Linked DNA regions of Caenorhabditis elegans. The protein of the gene in region 1 interacts with the protein of each later gene in a pairwise test. Each region holds a gene or a part of one and is shown in the gene's direction. Other genes may lie near its edges.

The links.
Region 2: the proteins of alp-1 (region 1) and ZK1307.9 interact in a two-hybrid assay, tested with the Caenorhabditis elegans proteins (3 studies listed by BioGRID).
Region 3: the proteins of alp-1 (region 1) and C09G1.4 interact in a two-hybrid assay, tested with the Caenorhabditis elegans proteins (3 studies listed by BioGRID).
Region 4: the proteins of alp-1 (region 1) and ZK121.2 interact in a two-hybrid assay, tested with the Caenorhabditis elegans proteins (3 studies listed by BioGRID).

Annotation. Positions count from the first base shown.
Region 1 is NC_003282.8:8,850,619-8,855,528, forward strand, and holds the start of alp-1 (PDZ and LIM domain protein Zasp), read left to right. Parts: upstream 1-1,881; 5' UTR 1,882-1,895; coding exon 1,896-1,994; intron 1,995-2,500; coding exon 2,501-2,646; intron 2,647-3,911; exon of another isoform or gene 3,912-3,927; coding exon of another isoform or gene 3,928-3,959; intron 3,960-4,041; coding exon 4,042-4,150; intron 4,151-4,280; coding exon 4,281-4,438; intron 4,439-4,677; exon of another isoform or gene 4,678-4,737; coding exon of another isoform or gene 4,738-4,830; intron 4,831-4,874; coding exon of another isoform or gene 4,875-4,910. Other genes in the region: T11B7.5 (uncharacterized protein), read right to left, coding at 4,738-4,830, 4,875-4,910.
Region 2 is NC_003280.10:9,647,775-9,651,544, forward strand, and holds ZK1307.9 (Coiled-coil domain-containing protein 130 homolog), read left to right. Parts: upstream 1-1,716; coding exon 1,717-2,031; intron 2,032-2,130; coding exon 2,131-2,388; intron 2,389-2,496; coding exon 2,497-2,641; intron 2,642-2,721; coding exon 2,722-3,113; 3' UTR 3,114-3,188; downstream 3,189-3,770. Other genes in the region: Galactosylgalactosylxylosylprotein 3-beta-glucuronosyltransferase sqv-8, read left to right, coding at 164-301, 381-484, 531-1,027, 1,119-1,450; ZK1307.4 (motile sperm domain-containing protein), read right to left, coding at 3,257-3,403, 3,713-3,770.
Region 3 is NC_003284.9:15,993,898-15,998,659, reverse strand, and holds the start of C09G1.4 (uncharacterized protein), read left to right. Parts: upstream 1-1,722; 5' UTR 1,723-1,738; coding exon 1,739-1,820; intron 1,821-4,221; exon of another isoform or gene 4,222-4,445; intron 4,446-4,762.
Region 4 is NC_003281.10:5,339,768-5,344,774, forward strand, and holds ZK121.2 (R3H domain-containing protein), read left to right. Parts: upstream 1-1,914; 5' UTR 1,915-1,922; coding exon 1,923-2,126; intron 2,127-2,509; coding exon 2,510-2,841; intron 2,842-2,885; coding exon 2,886-3,026; intron 3,027-3,144; coding exon 3,145-3,553; intron 3,554-3,830; coding exon 3,831-4,349; intron 4,350-4,407; coding exon 4,408-4,479; 3' UTR 4,480-4,492; downstream 4,493-5,007.

The DNA of each region.
Region 1 (4,910 bases):
TAATTCTTCTAAAACCTTATTGTTGAGTCTGAACTGGACTATGAATTTTACGAGACTGTATAATATATTTATAATTCCGCTCATGGCTCATTTTTGGCATAAACTTGGTAATGTAAACGTTTTGTGATTTGAAAAAACCCTATACTTCATACCACAAACTACTCTAACAAGTGTTCATACTTTTATGTCTCAAGCTCTTTCAAACAAATCGCACTTTTGTTCCAAATTTCTTCTCATTTTCGTCTCGGTCTTCTTATCATCCCATCCCCCTCCCCTTTTCGTTGATAATCAGCAACGCGCACTCGCTTTACTACAAACACGTCCAATACCTGCGCCTCCTCAAAATCATCCCTATATCATTCCGAGAGCTCCCCCGGCTCTCGGGAGCTCAAGAGGAGATGGCCATGAAGTGCGAGAAGGCTTCCCGCGCCGGGAAGAGCGAGAGAATGTCAGAGTTCGAGCGAGAGGATGTGCTCACGCCCGCGCGTGCCGTACACCGTTGGGCCTGAAGCTTTATCCGCACAGACCTCAGAACAGCAGAACCCCCACCTCCGCAACACAACACCAAGTTGATTTTTTGGAATTTTTTTTTGGAACTCAACCGTCTTAATTTATACATTAGTTCTGTATACTTCTAGACTTGATACAATGCAATTTCAACCTAAAATTGAAGATGTAATCTGAAATCACCCATCTCATATAAGAAAACAATGTTTAAAACTACTTTTTAGATTATGAACGGCAATCTACCAATGCCTAAGGTTGGCACGGTTTTTTTTGAATAAAACTTGTACTCTGCAATTCGATAAATGTATTTAGGATCATGTAAGATTGTTTTTTGCCAACATTTTAGCTCACATACGATAGATCTCTAGGAAGTTTAGTTCAGAACGTCATTCGTGGTATTTTGTGTTTATAATTATTTTTTACTTCAAAGCAAGTAGCATTACCAGATTGTTCAAATAGTTCTTTTTTGGTTGGTTTGTAGGACTTTAATACTAATGTTCAAGTTGCAAACGGAGATACAGGACTTCATGTTAAAAATCGTTAGCTTTGTTGTTATAAAACTTTATGTTATAAAACTTTCATAAGTTTATGTAGATTGGCCTACAAAAAGTATCACCTCTTTAAAAGTTTAAAAAATGTTACTGGCAGTTAGAAATAAAACTACAAAACTGGGGTAATATACGGTGTTCATTATGAAACACACTGATTATGAAAAAAAAATTGGAAAAAACTAAAATTTCAATTATTGGGTGTGGTATCGTTTTTTAAACGTAGTTTAAAACTATATGTTCCGTTAAACGATAAGAGTTCCATAAAAAAAATTAACTGTCAATCACGAATGACTCATCGAATCAGAAAACTCGTTATGCTCAGTTTCATAATTTCAATTGAATTTCTTTATTAATTTTAAATAAAACATCTTACTTTTTCAACAATCTTTTTTTTTCTGTTGTAGTCATTCACTACCATTTCCCCCGTCAAATTGCCCGACAGTCGATAAATATACAAAATCCAGCATAATCTCACTCTCCCTTCTTTTACTCTTATTTTCTATTTTGCACTATACGGAAAACAATACGATTTTTTTGTTTTCAATTTTTAATTAAAAGTAAAAATTCAAAATGTCAAAATGTTTGCAAAATTTTTCATCTATAAACGCCACGTGGTTATTGAAGATTTCGTGTAACTATTGGACTGAAACGTTTGCGCTTTAGCAAATAACTGCGTTTGAAGTGGTACACATTTGAAACAAAATGAATATTTTCGGTTGGACAATATTTTTTTAAACATGTTCTACTAAATTCTGTTTGAAACTTTGATTTATTTTTATTTGTTTCGCTCTATTTTATTGACCAGGACACAATAAAATTTCAGGTAGTCAAATCAAGATGGAACGTGTGACCGTTCGAATGGCTCGTTCGGATCGCCGAACTCCATGGGGGTTCGGTGTGACAGAAGCCCCAGATGGAGCTGTTCTTATTGTTAATGTAAGCTCTTTATTATAAATTTAGTATAAGTGTCCCCCTATTTGTCATAAAGTAGTTTGTCAGTTTGTCCAAATTGAATCACAATAAAATTTGTCGTAAAAATTAGTCTTGAGGCATATGTTTTCGTATACATTTAATACAAAAACCAAGAAAACCCATCACATTCACTTTTAGCACCTCTAGGTTCTTACCGCGATCTCAAAAATCACCGCATCACCACAACTGATTTACAATCTCATCGCCTTCCTCACTTTCTCTCGCAGTTTTATCCTCTGGACATGCCCAGGGAAAATCGGAAGAGCAACACAAAAAACATCACTTATTACAATAAGTTAGATGCTTTCAAAATTTCTCTCAAAACTCATAGACAAAATGTAGTGAGAGATTAGTCGTTAACGTAAGAAAAAATGAATTTGAAAAATTGACATGCGTTGGGGGATTTTTTAAAGCAAAGGGAGCCTTCAATTCAAACAAGTTGAATATCGAATAAAAGTTGAAAATTTCAGGTAATAGGTGGTAGCTTAGCTGATCGTGCCGGTCTTCGTAATGGAGATGTTGTTGATCGTTTGGAAGATCTTGACAATTTGGACATAAACGCTGTTGATAGACTTCTAGTTACAGCTCATGAGAAGATTGAACTTATTGTTACCAGGTAACTCATCTCGTTAAACACTTCAAATTTATCAGTATAGCACCAATTATTCAAAATTTGTGTCGACCACAATAAATAAAAATTATATATAAACAGAGCAGGTGTGTGAAAATAATAAGAAAGACATAATTTTCTCGAATATTTCCCCTAAATCGATCCCTTGAAAATGTACACAACCCTAGTTATGTAATCTGTAGCTTTGTTATCACAACGCAATTCAAAGTAGGTTACTTACCAGTTTGTATTTCCGTTTATTAACCAGTCAAAGTGTTCTCCGTTTTAATCACATCACCAATGTATCCTACCTTTCCGTTTTTAATCCGTCTGCGTCTTAGTTTATCTCCAACAGCAAGTGCTTCATGCAATAGAATATAGATATCCAAAATTTTCGAAGCGAACACCCGCCATATAAACAGGCGAACAGATAAGAATCAGGCCAATCGGTACGGGGGAAGCAGAAGGCAACATTCTTCCGAATATCTCGTTGCAGGAAGAAGGAGGGACTTAGGATTTATACATACATATTCCGTTTGATGACAAATCGTTGCAACTGTTTTGAACTGTTTTGAAACGGTCAAATGTCCCAATCAATGTTTTCTTTAGCTTTGCAACAGCTTTGCAACACAAGTTTTGCTCCTCTTATAAGCACTCTAATGTCATTAAATTTGAAGCTCGTTACCTTTTTCCCTCAAAAATCATTCTGTGTTGATAGTTTTAACAAGCTTCAGATATTTTTGCCCCTTTAAACTTATTTTTGAGCACTTTTTACATAAGCAACTGCAAAAAAAGTTGCATGGAAAAATGTTATAGAATTGCCAAAAATAACTGCCACAGCATTCAAGATTCTTTCCAAAACTGCTGTATAGTTTTAAGAAATACCAAAACAAAACAGTTTGACAATTATTATTATTTTGGCTTTTACTTTTCCCGAATTCGCATAATTTTCTCCTGAATGTTATGTTTTACTTTGAACAGTTGAATTTTAAATAAATAGGGTTTTAATGATGAGTCAGTTCATGACAAAGCAATGTACTTCTGACACTGTTCTTTTTATTTCATTCTCTGTTGTTGTATCAGAGTGTTCCAACAATTTATTCACCCTCTCGCACACAAAAACTGAGAGAATGAAATTGTTGAATACTTCCTCTCACATATTTCCCTTTTCCAGGTGTTTATCATTTTTGAACAAAAAAACTTGCAAGTTTCCTTTTTCTTTACGTTTACCCATTTTCCTATAAATATATTTCATGTTCAATTGAAATGATTTAAGATTCAAAAGTGATGGTGAGAATCACAACGACGCCAAGACCATGGTAATTTGAAATTTAATCGAAGAGATTAAATAGAAAATAAATAAATTTTGATTTCATTCATATCAAATAAGTTTAATTTCAGGCAACCATCCGGTGCAGCCACCAGAATTTGGCGTCCAGAAGTAACTGAAAATACTGGACCAGGACAGGATCAAACCCCATATCGTGTCAATTTGCAGCATAGCAGTGATGTGAGTCATTTGAGTTTTGTTTTGAAATAGGAAGCTTCACACAAAATCGTTATTTGTAATCGTTTTTAACGACAATAGCATAACATTTTTTAAAATTTCTAATAAATAGTGAATAATAAATTATTTTTAGACCCGTCCACCACAAGGTTTCAACAATTCAGCACTTCCTTTTGAAACAGATCAACGTGTGAAACATATGCAATACAATTCTCCATTGGGAATTTATTCCGATAAGTCTGCAGCTGAGCAATATGTTCAACAAACTCAAGGATTGGGAGATAATTCAGGGTGAGTGTTTTTTACATGACTAAATTTTTGAAAGAGCACTTATAGTTCAATTTGGCCAGAAAATATAGTATAAATTTAGTTCGGAAGTTGGCCTATATTTTACAAAAAAATTTCTTGAGACAAGTCATGGCCAAGCTTTGTTCACCCTTTACCAACTTCTGAACAAAATTCTTAGGTTTGGGGCAGTTGGGTCAGAAGTGGCGGTCGAATTCCGAGTCTCATAAATTAATCCAAAAATTACAAGACGTTAACGCTTTTTATCATTCAATTTCAAGAAACGAAAAACAAATTAAATGTATTTAAAATCCACGACGGCTTCTCATTTCTCTGAAAGCTGCAGTGAGGTTATCGATGAACAAAAGCTCGCGTTTCTTGCGCGGAAGGTAGTCTCCCTGAAAATTGATATTCTTTATCATAACAATTCAATCGAAATTACCGTGTCGAAACCTCCGGCGACAGCAGCTTTTCCTGC
Region 2 (3,770 bases), on another chromosome or scaffold:
ACAAACTTTTCCGATTTTTGTGTTTTGTAATTAAAAAATCCCACATACGTCAAATCCGGCTTAAAATAGTGCTTTGTCGATCACTTTTTGAACTTCCAAATTTCAATTTTTCAGGGATAAATAAACCAAATGAAACTGTTCGACCTGTCGCCGCACCGACATAATGTTTCCATCTAGATTACTAGAAAAATGGTGGCTCCGAGCATTTATTGCACTTGTTATTTTCTTCGTTTGGCAACTATTTTATGCAATTAATCGGGTACAAAGTTTGGAAGAAGAACGGGCCACTTTGCAAGCTACCGTGAGTTTATTTTTATGTTTCAACTGTTTTTCTGTAACTAAAATGTCACTTTTATCAAAATTTCAGTAATAATTTTCAGATAGAAGTTTTGACACGAAAAAGCGACGGGTTAAGAACGCAGATATTCGAAAAAGAACGAAATTTGGTTCGATTAAATGGGAAAGTTGAGGAGATTGATACACAGTAAGATTTTTTAAAAGTATTTATTCTTCTAAGAATATAATTACAGAATACGCGATCATCTTTCCCTCCTGCCACGTGTTAATCGTTCAACGCCTTTCATTTATTTTATAACTCCAACACATTTCCGCGCTGCTCAGCGAGCCGATCTCACTCGTCTATCCTACACGCTTTCCCATGTTCCCAACCTCCATTGGATCGTTGTAGAAGATTCCGATGAACTCACACCATCCATCGCCGGAATTCTGAAAAGATCAAAAATTCCAAATACACATCTAAATGCTCGAACTCCGTCTGATCAAAAAATGAGATACGATGACCCCAATTGGACGTTGCCACGTGGCGTTGAGCAACGAAATCGAGCACTTTTATGGATTCAAAATCAATTGAGTGGTGTGAAAGAGGGCGTTGTGTACTTTGGAGATGATGATAACACATATGATCTGAAAATTTTCGGAGAAATGCGGAAAGTGAAAAATGCAGGAGTTTGGCCAGTTGGAATAGTTGGTGGAATGTTTGTAGAAACGCCAATTTTAGAGAAAAATGGTACGGTTTTTAAATATTTCCTTAATTTATTTGAACTAGGTTTTAATTTTCATAACCAGTCCTTGCTTAAATTTTAAATACATCTTTTTAGGATCGATTTCCCATTTCAACGCTGTCTGGAAACCGGAGCGTCCATTTCCGATCGATATGGCTGCATTTGCAGTCAATATTTCTCTGGTTCTCTCCAACGCGAACGCTCTTTTCTCATTCGACGTGCCTCGTGGATATCAAGAATCTACTTTTCTTGAAAATCTTGGAATTCATCGTTATAATATGGAACCACTTGCGGAAATGTGCACGAAAGTGTATGTGTGGCATACGAGAACTGAAAAACCGAAATTGTCGAAAGAATCGATTGATCGATTGACTAAAAAGACAGGATTCAACTCGTTAGAAGCACATGCGCTTGGTGTGGATAATTAAGAAAAGTTCTAATTTTGTTATTTTTGTTGAAGTACCCATTTTAGTTTGATATAATTCATTTTCCACAGATTTTACCCAATGTACAAAAACCTACGAGTACCCTTTTATTGCATTTTGACTAACTTTCATAAATATTTTTCTTTACCTTCTTTTCAAAAAATTTAACTCCTCAACAGTTGTGTAGCTGTTTTTATTATTTACAAGTCTTTACTTCTTATACCAATTTTATTCTGTTCTGGAAAACGTAAAACTTATTCCAATTATAGATGGGAGAGCGTAAAGGACAAAACTTCTACTATCCGCCGGATTTCAATTACAAAACCCACAAATCTTTAAATGGATATCATGGAACCCACGCGCTTCGCGAACGTGCCAAAAAGATTGACCAAGGAATTTTGGTGATCCGTTTCGAAATGCCATTCAATATTTGGTGTCTTGGATGTCATAATCATGTTGGAATGGGAGTACGGTACAATGCAGAAAAAAAGAAAATTGGAATGTACTACACGACACCGCTTCACGAATTTCGAATGAAATGCCATCTTTGTGATAATTATTATGTGATTCGGACCGATCCAAAGGTATTTTCTAACTTAAGAAGTGGATGTAGTCTTTAAAAAAATATAATTCAAATTTCTAATTTTATCTTCAAAAATCTTCAAAAAAAATCATAACTTCAGAATTTCGACTACGAACTAGTGGAAGGATGCTCACGACAGGAACTTCGTTTCGATCCAACCGACATTGCACAAATCGGAGCAGTTGATCGTGGTTTTACTCAGAAACTCGCAGCAGACGCAATGTTTAAAAAAGAACATGAAGCAGAAGATAAAGATAAAGCAGCTACTGAAGAAGGACGAGTTGATAAGTTGGAATGGATTCAAGAGAGAATGAGAGACGATTTTACAGCAAATTCGTTTTTGAGAGCACAGTTTAGGGTAGGTTTTTTTGGCTTTTTAAAATCCATTTTTGGGAAATGCAGTTGATTTTTTTTTTAATTCTTTGAAAATTTTCAAAAAATTTATTAATTTTTCTTCAATTTTCAGAACGAGAAGAAATCCCTCAACGAAACTCGTGCTCGAGATGCGAATCTTCGTGATAAACTATCCATTGGAACGACTCAATTATTACCAGAAACAGAAGAGGATCGACGGATAGCGTCTATGATGACAAGATATCGAGATACAAAAAGTGAGTTTTTGCTTCTTTTATATCATTAAAAAATATTTACAGCTTTTAATTCCTGTTCAATAAAAACTATTAAATTACAGCTCACGATGATCACCTCGAATCTTCCCGCGATCGAATCGAATCACGTAGGATCTTCAGACGACCGGAAGAAACTGACACACCATCCACGTCTTCTGGATCTTCTGGAGGCGCTGTTCCATCCGCTTCCGAACGATTGAAGGCTACAATGAAAGCAGAGAGAGATAAACGAATCAATGCCTCATTTTCAACTGCTGGAACATCATCCGCGACTCAGAAACTTTTAGGAATCAAGAGAAAATCAGCTTCGTCTCTGGGTGTTCAAATTAAAAAAGCCGCTCCGGAAAACTCAAGTCTCCAAGATGAAGAACCTGCAGTGGAGAAGCCAAACATTTCAAACCCAATCTCACTTATTGCTCAAGAATACGGAAACTCGTCAGACGATTCAGATTAATTATTTTATCGAACGTTTAGCTGTTTTTTCTCTGTGAGAATTATCTTACTAATAATAATAAACACCCAGAACAAAAATTCCAATCTTCATTTTTACATACAATGCTCAGTTTAAAAATATCTTGTTTTTCTTTGGTGTATTATTCATTCGGCAGCAGACAACTTGATGACTGTCTCTCCAGAAAGCTCTCCTGGTGGCACTCCATTTGCGAACAATGGTTTTGGATCCGTGTTCTCATCAACTACCATACAGTACTGGATGATCAACTTGTCGGCTTGTGGCTTTCCAGGCTGAAATTTCAATGAAAATTATTACATAGAAGTCCAAGAATGAGAATTTCCGCCATATCTTCCGCGCATGGGTCTCACCATGCTGACAAAGGGCTACTGTAACTCGTGTCATTTTATGGGTCGCGATTGTATCATACGTTGATTAAAAAAATTTGGAAGCACTATTTCATTCGATATGAAAGTTATAATGCAATAGTGGAGCAAAACGTTGCGAAGTACAGTAACTTATTGTCAGCGTGGTGAGACCCAAACTTTCATCTTTAAACGGCTTCGTAATAGATTGTGTTCCTAGATTTAGAAAATTTATACCTTTCTGGTGATGACCAATTCCTTGACATCGCAAACTTTCAAGATTCCATAGATTAAG
Region 3 (4,762 bases), on another chromosome or scaffold:
GCTATTTTCAGTATTCTTCTTCTTTCTTTTTCTCCCCATTTTTTCGCGATAGATTTATGTGTTTCCTGATACATCACGTACATCCTGCTGCTTCGGCTCGCACAAAAAGAGAAGTTCGTCGCTTAAGAGTAAGTACATCATTCACTAAGGCATCACAACCATCTGGCGAGATTAAACATGTGTTTAACGAGAGGGGGACGGGATGGAACCCTAACTTTTGACGTGTGTGTGTGTCTACCGCCATTCGGGTGTTAGATTACCAAGCAATAATGCAAATGGGTTTGGCGGTTCAGATACTGATCATAAGTGAGTCACATTTTTGGTATTGCGGTAGTTTTTGAAGTTTAGAATTTTGAAGTTAAATTTTTCATAGTCCTCTTTATAGTCATTACCCTCAATTTAAAATTAAAACCCAATGACAATCACGAAAAAGTTTGCAATACCAGTGGTTTTATTAAACATAAATATTAGGGCTTTCATGCAGGCGACGTCTGCCTCGTGCCGCGAGCCGCGCCTCCTGCTTAGTGCTGCGCGGAACCCGAAAAGTGTCGGCCGCTTCCATGGAGGTCCTAATAGTTATCATCAAAAGCTTTTGGGGTCTCTTCTGAACAATCTCGCCATTTCTATGTTTTCGCCAAAAAATCCTAGTTCTATGTAATGTTTACACTGTATTCAAGTTCGTTTTTTTTCACTTTTCCAGAACATTCCTTGCTTTTCTTCTGTACACCCACTCTTCTATTTTTTTTCTTGTTATCACATTGTTCTGAACGACTGCATTGTGTGTTGTATGACCTTTTCCTTTTCGTGATCAATCCGTCCCTGGGGACAGTTCTATTAGGTCGGTGTGCCCACGAATGGTGTGCATTCTAGAGATAGTAGTGAAGAAAAACTGTTTTTTTTTTGCTTCAAGTTCGAATGCCGAAGTTGGTGTTCAAACATTGAATTGTCAATGGGGACACAAGTTGTTTTTTGTTTTTTTTTAATAGAAAGTTTTAGGTGCATTGTTTGGTTATTTTGGAAGAAAGCTGTATTTTTGAAAGCGTGCTCTTAATCTTTTTTTCCGATGCTCTTTCAATCAGTTTCCTTACTCATCATAGTAAAATCCGATATTTCTAACAATACGAGGGTAGCTATTTTTCACTATTTAAAGATTAAAGGGTCAAAGGACGATCCGTTCTCCAAGTGCTATGCACTGCGGATCTGGGACTCAGGTACACTGCCTGGTGGTGATCCCACTGGGTTGTAATTTAAGCCACGTCCGAGCCGGGGACTGTGGCCGATAATCCAGTCTTGGATTGCTCCACTTCCCAATAGGGGCTGGGTGAACCTAGGAAGTGAGGCCGGACTTGAACTCGTGACCTCCAGATTGCTAGCGGCCACCACTACCGACTGAGCTATTTGCCCCCTTATATATTTAATTACTCTTGATCAAAACACACCTAAAACTTCCAAGACGTCAGTACGTGCACCAGTGCCAGTCACGATTGTGTCCACTTTACATATATATCCAATTAACAGTGTCACTTTTCACATCTTTACGTCCATCTCGCTTTTTTTTCGCCTTCTTTTTTTCCCCTACTTTTCCGCAGCCCCCAAAAATTGAGAACATACCTTAACTAGGCCGATTATATCCCATCAGGTCTTTGATGTTATCATTTGTTTCTTTACCTCTGATATGTTATCTTTTTTTTCAAATTGTTCTCTTATAAACTTACAATTTTCAGAGACACAAATCACAATGTCTTCTGGAAATCGGCAGGCTCCAATGCCCCCACCAAAACCTCGAAATTTGGGGCGTGGCCAGTTTTATCAACAAGGAGGTACGTCATAATTATTTCTCACTTTTTTTTCCAAATTCAAAATTAATTTCTTCTTTTTTGCACCAGTCATTCAGTATTCGCTCGTCATCTACAAATAGAAAAGGGAAAAATTATGAATTTTCAATAGACGTACCTTTTTTTGAATACGTGTCTTTTTCGCAAAAAATGTTTTTTTTCTGTGATTTGTTTCTAATATTTTTTGTAAGAGCAAAGTTATTACCTACCATATGCCTAAAATAAATGTGGAATACTAGATTTCGAACATGGTGCATCGACTGGAAAATGTTTTTGGCGCTTGTTGCTTAAAAAACAGGTTACAAATATTTATTCACGTTTTTTTTGGAACATTTACTATGTAATACATAATTTCTTTTAACCGTTTGAACAATTTTTTTCCTGTTTTTTGCTCTAGTCATTTAGTATTCGTTCATCATGAATTATTTCCGAGCTAAAAGAGGCAAATTATGAATTTTTCAAAAACGTACTTTTTCGAATGCAGTGGTGTAGCCATTTTTGCACAATTATGTTTTTTACATGTTTCTATGAGTTCAGTTCAGCCACAGTTTATGGATACAGATATTCATAATATGAAAGATATTTTAAACACGTAACTACTTCTGGAGTTTTTTTTTTTTTATTTTTGTTTAGAATTGTGAATATGCTCCGAAATCGGTCTTTGCAGAATTTTCAAAGTAACATATTAAAAAATTATGAACATTATATTTTTTTCGGTAAAATGTTTGGTATTTTTTAACGGAATGTTTTAAAAAATTGCAAAATTTTTTCGCTATTTTTCTTTAAAAGTGGAGTAGCGCCAGTGGGAAAGTTGTTAAAAACCACTCCTTTGGTCCCAAAATGACCACATATCATAATGAAACTTATTTATTGTCAAAAAGTGACAATTACTCAGTTTTTGCCAATCATAATTTTGGAAGTCGACCAAAAAAATGTTTCTACATTTTTTATACAGTAATTATTTGGATTAAAACATTGTAGGGCCCGGAACATGTGAAATTGCTTTGGATTTCTTCAAAAGCTCTTATTTTTCAAAATTCTGAAAATTTGCCAAAGTTTAACCGGAAATTATGAAAAGCCTGAAATTTTTTGAATTGTATTATTAAGATATTTGGTCTTTTTAGATCATAATGAGTGTCTACTCCATGTTTAAATAATACCCGTTTTTGCCTATTCCCCAAAACTCCAGTGGCCATTAATAGTCTGCAAGAACTAATTTCGGAAAATTTAGATCTGAAAGTCATTGAAACAAAACAAACTCTATTAAAATTTTAGGAGCGCATTTCCGCTATTTAAAACTTTTCAATCGTCTCTGTGAAATAAATGTTTTCAAATTAGGTAAAACGTTAGGTAAGTCTTGAGTAATTCTTAGTTAGTGTTGAAAACGTTAGTGTAGAAAAAATTTTTTTTGGAGCAATTGAATTTAACTGCTAAATTGTGCGTTTGTATTCCAAAATTTTGAAGCGAATCTAACAGATATTTGATCTCTGGCTTTCAATTGCAAAGTAATTCTCCCTTTTTTGTCGCTCACCACAAAGCGTCAAGTTTTCTCAGTTTCAGTGTAACATGCCATACACACCAAAACGACAAGCTTTTCAAAATAAGAAAAACGGAAAGTGAGCAAGTGACGCGGCGCGCGGTCAGCGTTTTTTTTTGTAACCCATCTCAAATGCCAAGTCTCTGTGTTCGTGGACCTTTTCAAGCGAGACTATGTCTGTGTATGTGTGTGTGCCTTTTTCATTTTTGCTCCCGAAGAGCCCAGTACTACACATTCAGAACTTTTACACTTCTAGCTCGGCACCATGTGCTGATCTTGGTCCAACAAACCCCAACAAAAGTGCGTTCTGCGTTTTGCCCGCAACCCATTCCTGCTTATTGCATTTTGAGGAAGAGCATTCAGACAGCGCCCATGATGCAGAATATTTGCGCGTTTTTTTTGAGTGTGTAAACGGAGAGCCCATTCTGAAAATAATCATTGGTTGCTGAAGAGGGCAAAGAATCGTAGCGCTACCAGTGTTTACTTGAGCTTGATCTTGGAATTTTGATTGGAACCTTTTTGATTTGAAATATAATTTTTGAACAGTATACTGAAAAAGTATGAAGCTCAACTGAAGCATATTGAGCTGAAAAAAGTAAATCTGAAATGTTCAGCACTTTTTTTCTACTTCCGATGTCTTTAAAATTGCTTTAAAAATATACTTACAGTCAACCATTTTAGAAATGCAAAACAATTTTTTCACTGATTTGTTTGATAAAAAAAACCACGTGGGGTCAAAGTGTCCCATGTTGGTTTGATCTTCAAAAAATGCGGGAGAACTTTTCCCCTGATTTCGTATGGCTAACCATGTGTGCTGACGTCACATTTTTCTGAAAAAAAAATTCCCGCCGATTTTGTAGATCAAACTGTATTAGGACAGCCTGACACCATTTGAAAATGATGCAAAAGATTTTCAGATCGGCTTCAAAGAGCTTCAGTTTTTCTTCAGACTTCAGACTTTCAAAGATATAGGCATTCCCAGTGCTCCTCGAGAGCATGCCTCACTTCTCCGTGTGGTCGAACCGAACCACTTCAACCCTTAACAGGCACGAGGGAGTGGACGAAAAAAAAAAAACGAAAGAAAAATGTGCCAAAACTTTTTTTTAGTGAGGGATGGGGTGTTGCACTCTCGTTTTGCCGTCCTCTTTCTTCTCCCCTGCTCTCTACTCTTCGGTAGATGTCATCAATAATTCTGTCCAAACATGCTTTAAACTCATTGTTCTTCCTCTCCTGATCCCCTTGTTGCTGCCGCCACCAAAAAACGTCACGTTCCACTTCTTCTTCCTCTCCTGCTGCTACTTTTTGCAGTTTCTTTTCGCCTATACATTTTCATTTTTTTGTCGGCGGTTACTACCGCTCCAGCTCCTACTTCCATTTTTTTCATTTTCAT
Region 4 (5,007 bases), on another chromosome or scaffold:
CCATTTCTCTCGTTGGGCACATTGTTAACGTCATTTGTATGAAACAAAGCTGAATGTAGACGAAGAAAAAACATCTGCATAGGCTCTTTTTGTCGATAATAGAATACAAGTATGAAACTCTGTGTCTCAAAGATAGAGTGGATAAATTTATTCATGTTCTGATAGTGAGAAATGAAAATTTCGAGTTAGTTTATACTTTTAGTATAGAGTTTACAACATAGCCAAATGGAGAAAACATATATTTGAACTTTGCAAAAAAATATTATTTATCTAACCAAAAGTAAACTACCGTATTTCTTCTATTAATATGGCTGCAATACTATTTTTCGATGGTCTTCCCGCTTGCAATACTAATAGGGAGTGCAAGACTATTAGGGAGTGCAATACTAATTTTCAGAACATTTTTCTGACTTTGAGCTTACTATTTTTTTCTGAAAAAAACTCGTATCTTATGTAAAAATTCAGAAAATTTGATTGCAATTGCAACAAAAAGGTACAATAACTTCAATTCCATAGAAATTTTACCAAAAATTTGTTGCAAAGTAGGCAAAAAATGTTGTAAAAATCTCAAAATTCAAAGGTGCAATACTAATAGGGAGTGCAAGTCTAATAGGGAGGCCATATTAATAGAAGAAATACGGTATTCTGAATTCCGCTCGTTAGTATCTTTTTATTGAAAGTTTTCAAAAGAGATTTATAATTTTCAAATAAAAATTCTAAGAATTTTACAATTCTTTCAAGTTATCAAGTTTTTGGATGTAGAACTACGTTTGCACTATATTTTCCAGAGATTCATACCGAAAAAGTTCTAAAAGTCAATTTCCGTTAGGAAACCTCACCTCAATTTCCTCCCACCCATTATTATTCAAGATGAGCACTCCCACCCGTGAGCCACCACAAAAACACATTATTTGGCAGTTTCTAATCCCCTACAAATCCCCCTTGAAAATGATTTTGATCTGATTTTGAGCTTTTCGCAGAAATAATTGGAAATGTTTGAGAAAATGGATGGAAACTGCATATTATCAGTGATATTTAGTTGTTAATTCATGCTTATTTAGTTGCCTGTTTCATAGAAAATTGGTGATAAAGTTGTCATACGGTAGGAAGTAGGACATGATTGGAAAAACTAGATTACTGTAATTCGAAGAGTCATTTTAAATTTAATTTTTTGAACTCTATAAGCTACTAATTTTGCCTAGGTTCAACAAATTTTGGGTCCCACCGCGAAGACTGGAGTTCAGTTTGAAATGTTAATTTTCATGTTTCAATGCACTTTTAAGCTATAATAAACGAGAGATTCCGTTACAAGACCCACAGTTGTAAAATTGACGTTATGTAACTTACAATTAGACGAGAAGATACATAAAAGTGGAAATACCGAATTTTTTTTTGAATTACTCGCAATAGAATTTTTATTTTTATTGCAAGAATACGCAAGAAACACCCGCAAATTGAATTATAACGGGCTTTAACTTCCTCCCTTCTTGCTTCCTCCACGTTTTCTTTGAACCTCTGCTTCACCTCAGATTTCTTTGTTTACATTTATTTGGTATCTCTTATCTCTGCATAGATAAAAGCTTGGAAATTCTTTTAATTTTTAAATACCTTCTTCTTTTTCTTATTCGAACTATTATACCTTTTCAAAAAATAGGCCTATTATGTATTTATATTCATTTTTATGTTTTTTATTGCGAAATTTCGTCTCGTTTTTTGGTTCTCAAAAGGCGGGGCTTAGCATTGAATGGGGGAGAAGGACATTCGTGGGCGGAGACTCTAAAGCAGCTGAAGCTTACCCACTGCTCCATTTTCATGCAAACTCTGCTCTTTTTTGGTAGTACTACTTCTTGAATCCTATTTTTTTAAATTCTCATCCTCTGCTTTTTCTGTGCTTCCAACAAAAACCAAATTTTCAGGTGTAAATGTCAACCGAAAACGACGTTTCAGAAGAGAATAATTCAGAGCTTGACGATGTTGAAGACGCAAAACAAGATGATCGGCGACGATCGACTACGGTAATAATGACAATGAATGTGACGACGGTGCCAGCTACAGAAAGTGAGGGAGTTCGGAGGAATGGAAGTGTTCGAAGACGACTTTCAAAACAGAATGCAACAATTGAAGAGGTGAGCAATTTCAAGGGAAGGTGGGAAATTGTCCCGCGAAGTGTCGGACTTCGAATATGGGTGCCGTTGCTGATGTAGTTCTTGTCCCGTATGGTGTATGCTGCTAAGGTACACAACTTCTTGAAGCCGGCTAAAAGTTATCACTAACCCGTAAAATGTCGGCTGCTTGGAGAATACATTATTTTATTATCATATTGATCAGCTCACTCTCTTGTGAATCATCAGAGGATGATCCGATTTTGTGTCATAGGCCGCGCTGAAAACTGAAATAGTTCCTGTTAGGAAGTCTGCTGAAATTCATATTTTTCACCCAATTTCGAAGAATGTTTGTAAGTTTATAGACAAAATCTGGTCGTTTTCGACTGAAATTTTTTAATTTTTAGCCAATATCTCTCCTGTCAATTTCTGATAGCCCATCAGAAAACTCGGATACTACGGTCCCATGCATAGAAGAGCATCCAGAAGAAGGCAAAGAAGAGGAGAAGCCAGCAGAAAGCAGTGACGTGTCAAAACTCCGCCCACCGGGTCTCGCACAGAATAAACTGTGGTCCACATCGAAATCGTTAAGCAGAGAGTCCACAGGAACCGAGTACTCGGACAGAAGTGGCATTGATCTAAGGAATTTTGTGGATCGCACGTTACACAAGAGTGAAGAAGATCGGAAGCAGCTTCTGGAGTTCGAAAAACAACTCAAAGAACTTATTTTAGATGATAGGTTCGTTTTTGTTAAAATTTCAGTCTGAAATTGATAATTTTCAGCACACAATCGAAAAGATTCGAGCTTCCATCATCCTATCACCGAATGCTTCTTCACAGGTGTGCCGCGTGGTTTGGTCTTGATCATAATGTTACGAATAAGCAGACCGATATTGTTGTGAACAAGTCAGAGAAAACCAAAATGTGAGTTGATTAATTTTCGGATGTATGTATCATGAAAATCATAATATTTTGTCTGTTTTAGTTTAGCCCCTTTATTTGGTCTTGTCAGATTTTAACTAGAAAAGTAACAAATTTCCAGTCCTGATGACAACTTCACCGACTACATCCGGCACGATAATTACGTAGAAGACCGACTGAAACGACAAAACACTTGCGGATCCCGCAAGGAACTTCACCATATGGAATCATTCGGTGATCATTCGACGAGTCAATATGGAAGTCAAGCAAGTCTTAATCATGATCTACTCATGATGCGAAGGGCACAATCATTTGACGTGGCAGCAGTCACTGGACCATCAGTTATTCAACCTCAATCTCCACATCATGTTCGAGGTCTTCCGATGCGACAACTTTCACTCAACTGCCCACAACAATCAATGGTTACTGCACCAATGAGTGGACCACAGGGACATCAATGGGCACCGCAAAGATCATTTGATTGCTCCAATAATAGTTATTTGTGCACTGGAAAACATCCAATGATGAGGGTGAGTATCAGAGTTCGCCTGAAAAATCGATTTTTCAAAAAAGAAACAGCGTCGAGTTTTACTTTCTCACGATCGCTAAGCTACAAGATTTTGAATCAATATATGATTGAGATTGAACGTGTGGCCGTCAATATCTGTGAGCTTCAGCCATGTCGATTTACGAGTATCTCTCATACATTTCATAAGTTTCCATAAGTTTCCGAGTTTCGAAAAATTTAAGATCACATGCCGTGGGCGCAAAAAACGCTTCTCAAACTCTAACCTCTAAATTTTCCAGAAAGCAGAGAGCTTCGGAGGAATGGCAAACGGAATATCACATGGCTGTTACGAGCAAAGTGTGCCAGTAGTTTGTGGAACACCTCCATCAGTGATGGTTCATCACCACCACCACCACGCTCACATCCAACAACCTCCAACCTCCAACTATACAGGCTATCAGGTATTCGAAGAAATGTCAATGCCATCATCAAACTACCAAGAGCCTGGAATGTGCTCCCCGGGAGGAACCTACTATGAGTATGTACCTCAACCAGTAGTTCAACCACAACAGTACGCTCGTCCAATTCGGTACATGCCACAAGATTACCGAAGACCTCAAGGAGTTCAGTATATGTATGGACCACCACCACCACAACAATATATGCAATACCAGCCAATGGTTCATCCGGAAGTTGAAGTTATTGTAGATCCAGTTCAAACTCAACCCTTTCCACAAGTCAGTCACTTTGTACTGCCTGATCAACAACAGGGATACTCATCAAGCCATCAAGCAGAGACAGCAAATAGTTTTATAAAGGTAAGGTTGAAGATGAGGAAATGAATTGATGGTTGTTGAAAATAGAACAACGATTTAGGCAAGCATTGATGGTGGATATGGAAGCATGAATCAAGACGTCGAGAATGCTGAAAAGGTCGAGGAGGTCTAAACCTTTCCCCCCCCCCCCCCCCCCCCCTCCCGTTGTCTCTTTAAATGGTATTTCTTCTTTCTAGCCATCCCCTTGTAGATTGTGATAAAACCCCACGAAAAGACGATATCGCCAAACATCTGGATAATTACGATTATATGAACATGATTCGAAGTACGGATTTTCAATTTTTTCTAGTCAACTTGTAGATTTCTTTCTCTCTCTCAATCCTTGTCATCTTTTTTTTTCTTTCGCTCTTTTGATATCGAATAAATTGATTTTCAATGCCGCTAAATAACCGCTAAACTCAATCATAAGACTTTGACATGCATTTTTAAAGGAGCAAGCATTTATTCAGAAGTGTCTTGGCACGAGAAAAGGTTCATGGTAAATAGCCATTGTTTAAATTTTTCGGCTGCCTCCAAGTTTACTTTCCTTAATTCCTTGCATTCTTCATTGAAATTACCTCGTCTTTAGAAAATTTTATGTTTTGTTTTCATTTTTCCGTTTAAAATGCTTTATTACGGGAACAAACAATTCTGAGAATGC